Linked DNA regions of Drosophila melanogaster. The protein of the gene in region 1 purifies or fractionates together with the protein of each later gene. This does not show direct contact. Each region holds a gene or a part of one and is shown on either strand. Other genes may lie near its edges. The genes, in order: JMJD7 and CG32450.

Evidence for each region.
Region 2: the proteins of JMJD7 (region 1) and CG32450 purify together in Drosophila melanogaster (affinity purification with mass spectrometry, with the first as the bait; one large-scale study listed by BioGRID). This does not show direct contact.

The regions. Positions count from the first base shown.
Region 1 is NT_037436.4:13,448,574-13,452,495, forward strand, and holds JMJD7 (jumonji domain containing 7), read right to left. Parts: upstream 1,711-3,922; 5' UTR 1,687-1,710; coding exon 736-1,686; 3' UTR 614-735; downstream 1-613. Other genes in the region: cmb (combover), read left to right, coding at 1-472. UniProt on the Drosophila melanogaster protein: Bifunctional enzyme that acts both as an endopeptidase and 2-oxoglutarate-dependent monooxygenase.
Region 2 is NT_037436.4:22,328,083-22,331,429, reverse strand, and holds CG32450 (uncharacterized protein), read right to left. Parts: upstream 1,653-3,347; 5' UTR 1,537-1,652; coding exon 1,273-1,536; intron 1,214-1,272; coding exon 1,001-1,213; 3' UTR 773-1,000; downstream 1-772.

The DNA.
Region 1 (3,922 bases):
CACCGTCATCAATGACTCCCTACTGGCAGAGGTATCAAAGCTGACGGCCACTGCTGCCCAGAATTCGACCGCCAGCTCGCCACTAATTTCGCCCAAACGCATATATGCCAAGATCAAGAAGATGGACATACCACGACAGCGGGACGAGTTCCTGCTTTGGTACCGTTCTTATTTGGAGCAGCTGTTTGTGGTGGAACAGCCGCAGGATAGCTGCAAGACCAAGTCGAAGGTGACACCTTCTGGAGCCAGTCCGGCCAAGCTGAAGAACCAGCGTGTGCGCAAACAGTCCCAATCCCAGTCGCAGGACTCGAATAACGATGCAGACTTGGCCGAGGCGGACCAAAAGAACGTCTCCTCCGCGGGAAATGGCGAACTGGAGTGCGAGAACAACGAAAATCCCGACGAGGAGGCAGATGGACAGGCTGCAGCGGAGCCTTCCGGCGCAGAAAAACAGGACGTCAGTCTCGAATAGACTAGAGAATAACCCAACAAAGCAAACATTCCTTATTTAAGAAGTCATCATCTGTACGGATATTTCATATTTCATTTACGAATTTCGGAAAAGATAAATCTTTTATGGTCGTGTCCTTAGTCGTAGTTCGCAACTCATTTTGGGTATCAGTTTTTTATTTAACACTAAATTATGTAACAATAATATATATAAATACACTGAAAACAAGAAGGGTTTTGAATTCACCTAACAATCCCTGAGAATAAATACTTCTCCGGATTCTATTAGCCACTCCTTGCGGACGTCATCTGCTCCAGCATGCGGTAGTAGCAGTACCGGCTATCGTAGTCCAGATCGTACCAGAAGTTCACGGCGATGCACTTGTGGCTTTGGGACACATGGTGGAACCAGTAGTTGGGCAGGTATAGGATGTCTCCCGCGTGAACACGTACTTTCAGAGGCTTGGCCCGGGCGTACTCCGGATATTTGGCCAGGTCGGGTGACAAGGGATCAACGCTGACCCATTCTGTGAACTGATCGCTGCCTTCCTCATCCCTCAACGGTTCAATGTAGAACTGACCACTATCTGAGGTCTTGTAAACGCCTGTAGGGTAAATTCCTCGCGGTACGCAGCTAAGCTGGTGCGGCGGGATGAGAACGAAGTCCTTGTGACCGGATATCACGCAGTACACGTTCTCGTATGGATCCTTGTGCATGGAGGTAACGGCGCGCTCGTCGCCCAGCCAAAAGTTAACAGCATCAGGCGGTTTGTTAAAGGACTGCTGCGCAAAGTCGAGATCACTGACCCGCAGATCAGCAGCCAGTTCCGGTAGGTCCACACTGAGGTTAGAGTTCTGCTTTTGTATGTAGTGGACAGCACCAGTGGGATCATCCAGGCGGCGGACCACCTCGGACAGCTTCATTTTCGTCTCCAGCGGCAAAACGAAGTACTCCTGTCCATTTTGAGTGGCCAAGCCGTCGGCATAGCCATTCGGGGTGATTGCCACATCCACGCTCCTGTCCCCGAGAGCCTCGATCAGGTACTTTGGCGTCCATTTGCCAATCGCGGGCCAATTGAGTGCCTTGCGAATGACCACCGGCTGGTTTTTGGAGTAGAATTCCCGACAAAACTCCAAGGCGGTTGGAATCCTGTCCAGCTCCACTACGCTGCTCCCGATGCACAGCTCCTCCGCTTCCTGGAGCAGAACATCCAGAGCTCTTTCGACCTCGGACATGCCGGTAAACAACACGCACTAACGCATTTTCCGCTAGAGTGGACCTTATCAGCGCAGTGTAATGTGGGGTTCTGGTTTTCAGTGAAAGTTAAACTGAAGTGCTGCAGTGAATTTAATTAGTTTCACCAAATGACGTATTAAATAAATAATATATTATACACAAATTAAATTGAAACATTTATTATTGTAATTTTTGTTACGTTTTTAAAGTAAGTAAGCAAGGTATTCCGAAAAAATCGATAAGGGTCAAATTCGCGTCGGTGAAATGCAAAAATGCTAAGAAAAGAAAGATCTTACTATCTATCTTATAGAGGTTGTCTAGCGTGCATTTTGATTTTGATTTTGCTTTTAATAATTAATTTGAATTTGGTGGTATAGAAATATAAGTGGTATTTTCTGAAACTGCAATGGTGTTGAGAACTGTGGTATTTATTTGCAAGTCGCTTGGTATTTTCCAGCGCTTTCGGCGCGGTCCCACTGGACGCGAGTGTGTTTGCGAGTGCGGGACTTTCAAGACGCGCGCGAAGCTGCGGACAGTCGGATAGGAAGTGGAGCGGACTGGAATGCAAACAAGACGACGCGTGTCGAGTGTTTGTGATAGAAACAAATTGTTTTCGAATACGGTCGGTGCTCTATTTGTTTTGTGAAATACAATTGATTTCACCAGCGACTCAGAGGAGGATCAGGGTCGTCACCTCTTTTGCATGCCCGACATTCGCGCGGATTCGAAGTTCAGCTGGTGCGATTCGAGCAACAGGTGGCGGATGACGGATGGATGGATGGGTGGCTAAATGGATCGTGTCGATGGGCCACGGGATTTGGCGAAATTTGGTGCTGATAGACTTATAGACTGACATAGGCCCGGCATTATTATTTGTGGCCAAAAGGGGTCAGGCGGTGTGCGCGTGAGGAAATTGAATTGACTTGGTGGCCACCGGCGGCGGTCCGAAATCGAAATCTGTGTCGCAAATGTGGCACTAATAAATTATCGCACATTCGCGCGCCGCACAGCGAGTGCTTCATTAATGCAGGAATCGCAAATGACGGAGAATATCTAGTTTTGCAGCGGCACTGCGTTTGTTTCATTTTGCCAGGAGAACGTGACCAAACTTTCCAAGTGCCGCGTGAATTGGATCTACCCAGCCAATAGGTCTTAATAGAGCTAACAATTATTTTTGGTAGCCACGCTTCGCGAAGCTGGGCGCAAACAAAAAAGAACGCAAACTCCGTGGCCTATAAATATCGGTCTTCGGAATTACTAAATCCAATTGCAGTCCAATTAGCAGTCGGACGCCAATGAAGCGGCTGTGAAAGAGTAAGTACGATGCTCTTTTGAAGCAAATACTTGCAAACGTCGAAGTTTACACACCCTAACGATTAAAGAATGTTTAACTTAACTGAAACATAAAAAATTATGCTTAAATAAATAAATTGATGTCTTAATTTGCCAATCAGACTCTGTGACTCTAAACACACAGTTCCAATCAGACAAATTTTCAAATCTAATCTGCTTAAAAATAAACCAAAGTGATTGATAGAGTCTTATGTTGATAGCTATTTAACTGATATAGGCTATAATAGACACTTCCGGTGAAAGTTCCCTTCAATGCATTACAAACCATAGACTGCAGCGCATATACCCTCCAAAAAAAGAGAATCAAAATCAACAAACGCCAACAGTGCGTATGACAGTTCTTACGCAATTAAAATACCATCACTGGCTGTAAGATTTACATAAATTCGGCCTGCGAAACTGAAAACTGATAAGCGTCATAAAAAAAAAATGAGGGGCAGCAACAACAATTGGTGTGTGAACCGAAACCCGAAAGCCGAAAAGCCAGTTGGGGAAACAATGCCAAACTCGCACAGAGCAATGCATTTTTCCACAATTTATTTAAATTTCGCACAGTTGTTGCTGCTGCATGGCAAGCCCCGAAATGAGTCAGTCGCGTGGCGCTGCACTCGCAGTTGCACTCGCACTTGCATTCGCTGCATGCCAGCGCGTACTTCTTTGTGGCGACAGAGGCTGCGCCGTCATAAGCACTGTCAAATTGCGATCGCCCCCGAGTGGGTGGGGCGTCGAGGGGAGCTGCGGCGGCCGGTGGGAGGCGTCATTGGCCCACTGCTGTTGCTGCTGTTAGGCGCGCTTTTCTCTTGCACCTCGCTGCCCCGCCGTCACTGACCACACTCAACGCCAAATCGACAGTCGCCTCTGGGCACAGTCGGGGTCGAAAAA
Region 2 (3,347 bases), 8.9 Mb from region 1:
AAAAAGTAAAAGGAAACTCGGATCATAGAAACCGAGAGGAGCAAGCAAAAATATTTGCACTGGCATTCCCATATTATTTCTGCTCTTGTTACTCCTGCTCCTGTTGCTGTGTTTGTTCTTGTTGCTGCTGCTGCTGTTGTTGTTGTTGTTGTTGCTGTTGTTGTTGTTGTTGTTGTTGTTGTTGTTGTTGGTATTATTGTTGCTGGGGGTCCAGAGCAAGGATTATAAATTATAACAGCCTCACACGGTTATTTATGTCATGTCAATGGGAAGGGGTGTCACACGGAAGGGGATATATCATCAATGCATGCGCTTAGTTGAGTGGAAATAGCTGCGAAATAAAACTATGCATTCGGGACTGGCTTTAAAGTGGAGCAGGCCGAGATGAAAGGGACTTAAATCGCAGCCAGCCCCAGGATCCCATCGCACCGCACCACAGCGCAGCGCGCTAAGCCAGAGATCTGCTTTGAAGCTTTTGATTTATTTGCTTGATGGCAAATCATTAATTTGCTTTGAGCCAGAGCAAAAAGAAAGCACGAAGCTTAGCATGCTTTTCAGCTGCTGTCAGATTTTCGGGCGACAAACAACCACCGCACGAGCAAAAAGGCAGCCGAAAGAAGCAAATTTAAATAAAACGCAAACCAACAAAATAATCCGACACATGCGCTGCCAAATGATTACCCAGGACTTGGCCCCAAAACCCCCACCTAATCCTATGTGCAATGTCTTTCCCTTCGCTCTGCGGGGTTCAGTGTGTTTTTGCAACATAAAAAACCAAACAATCACTTCATTTTATTGCGCCAAACGAGAAAGCCCAAAGCTGACACTTTTCCAGTCGCAAAAAAGGTCTCAATCATTAAACGGAATTGAAGGATCATATCGATTTTGTTGCTTAGAAGGGTACAAAGCCTGGTTGGATTCGAGAAGGTACTTTCCTCGATTCTCGATTTTAAGATCCCCAGTCATATCCGAGTGGGGATCCAACTGAGTGTTGATTTAATTAATCATCGGATCTATCGGTTTTGCGCAGCCAGTGGGCATTGCTGCTTTCACATCTCTTTGCTTTTGGTTCGGATGGATCAGTGGTTAATAGGAGGGGGTCAGAAATGTCCTTTCGCTTCCAGATTCCCTGCTTGTATTCCGGACCGTACTTGTCTTTCATACGCTGTTCAAGCTCGTACAATTTTAATGGTGTCCGTTTAGCCACTGTATGCTGCTCGAGGTCAGACTTGGTCAGAGGTCAGGGGCTATAGGTCCACGCACAAAACTTACCATACTCCGCACATATTTGTACACCCCATAGCCGATGCAGGCCAGAATTAAGGGAACTACCACAAACAGCCCCACGTTTAAACTATTCAGCTCGGGATCGCTGACCACGTGGGTGACATCGACGGTTTCCAGGGCAAAGGGTGGGTAAAAGAAGCGAATGATCTTATAAGTGGCATTGGCCAAAGTATGTTTTGGAAAAGGCTTCACGATGTCCACAAACCTCAACGACCAGTGCGAGTCCGGCGGCGGTACCGTTATATCCATATTTTTAAAAAAATGTATATAGAGAATGTTAAACCAAAAAAAACAGCAACGTCGAATTTTAGATTGTTCTAAAGCGACTTCTACTTGGTACTGGACAAGCAGCACTCTAAAAATGACTGATCCATCAAGGGCAACTCAATTAGGCCCGGTATTCGTGAAAACCCTTTAGCCAGACATAAATCATCGCCTACTTGGGAGCCCCGGAATGGCGTCATTGATTTATTAGCAGGACATACGCTCGAATCGATGCTGCTGGTGAAAAACTAGCGACAGAAGTGGCGGTGGAAAATGAAGCTAAAGTGGGAGCTGAGCAAAACCAGCCAAACCATCATCAGTCACCAGGCAAACAAACACGACGAGGACCCAAAGCGCAACGGCGTCATATACAAAAAGTGCTTGCATACATTACCCCGGAACCCATGAGCCGGAATAGATGTGGGGCGAAGGACCAGGGTCGCAGGACACGGTGTGCGCGGCAGAGGAAAGGACGCGTGCTTACTGCCAGAAACACGTACAAGAAATCATGAAATGTTGCCGCCATCATACCGAAAATTGTACGGGTAACGTGCAAGCAATCAAAGTACATGGAGGCAGGACTAGGCAGGACTCGACTCGAATCGACTGCGGCAACTAGAGCGCCTCGACATTGCCAAGGCCTGTGTGCTCCTCGAGCAGCGCCCACACGTCTGATTTTTACTACACACGTGTGCTGATGTGACGTCGACAGGATTGTGACTGCCTACTGACAACACTAGTGGGCCTTCTCCTTCTTTTGGCCTTCTGGGTCCTAGACTCCAACTGAGCATCTGGTTCAGACCAAGACCGAAACCGAAACCAGTCTGGCCGAAATGTAAAGTATAGTTGACGCAGACGTGCCAAGCTCGACGTGGCTGTCGTAGATGCTGCTTTTTGCTGTTTAAGTAAGCATGCAAATGTCACATGTAGACGGTAGTCGGTACTCGGTAGTTGGCGGTATCGGCAGGAGGGGATCAAGGGGAAGTGGGCGTGATAAGCACTCTCAGTTATGAAGGTGGGCATTGCTTGGTTTTCGGGCTCGCCGTTTCTTGCCCCTGCCACACATAAATGATGAGGTACACGTTGCCTCAGGCTGAATTTAGTGATTTCCCCGAGCATGTGGCATACTTTTTATGCGGCTCCTCCACGTGAGCATAAGGAGCTTCGGTTTATGGTTATTGATTCAGCCGAGCGGAGGTGGAGATAGTTTGAGTTATGGCCTCGGTCTGATTTGTGTCAGCAGGAAGTTTAAAAGAAATTGTTGCGCACTTTCGGGAGGCCAAAAGTGGATTACTCAGAGGGTTGCAGGCAGGTCCCCTGATTGAATTGGCTTAGCTGGGGGCGTACGGAACGAGATTGGATTGGATGGGGATGGGGACTTGCAATCAAAAGCCTAGTTTGTTGCTGCCTTCGCCAACCTCATCGTATTGGCAAAAGGTGGCAACCCTCGATCCACTCATTGTTCGATCAAAAATTCATGGCATACCCGTACGTTGGAGAGGTGCCAATAACTCGGCTGCTCCACTGACAATCGCCACTGTCTGTCTGCCCGTACGCAATTTACAATTACCGCACGCACACACAATTTATTTTGCAGCGCTAACAAATAAGCTAAACATTTTCGTGGCCAAGGGCCGTCCCGCTCCCAGGTGTATAGCAAATCAAAAAATCAGACAGGGCTGGGCACGAAGACACGCCAGGCAATCAGTTAAATGTTTGTTGAACTCACCAGCGTCGAGGTCCTTAAGTTCTCAAGAACGCACGACTCGCCGGTTTCGAGGAGTCCCAGGGGCTTC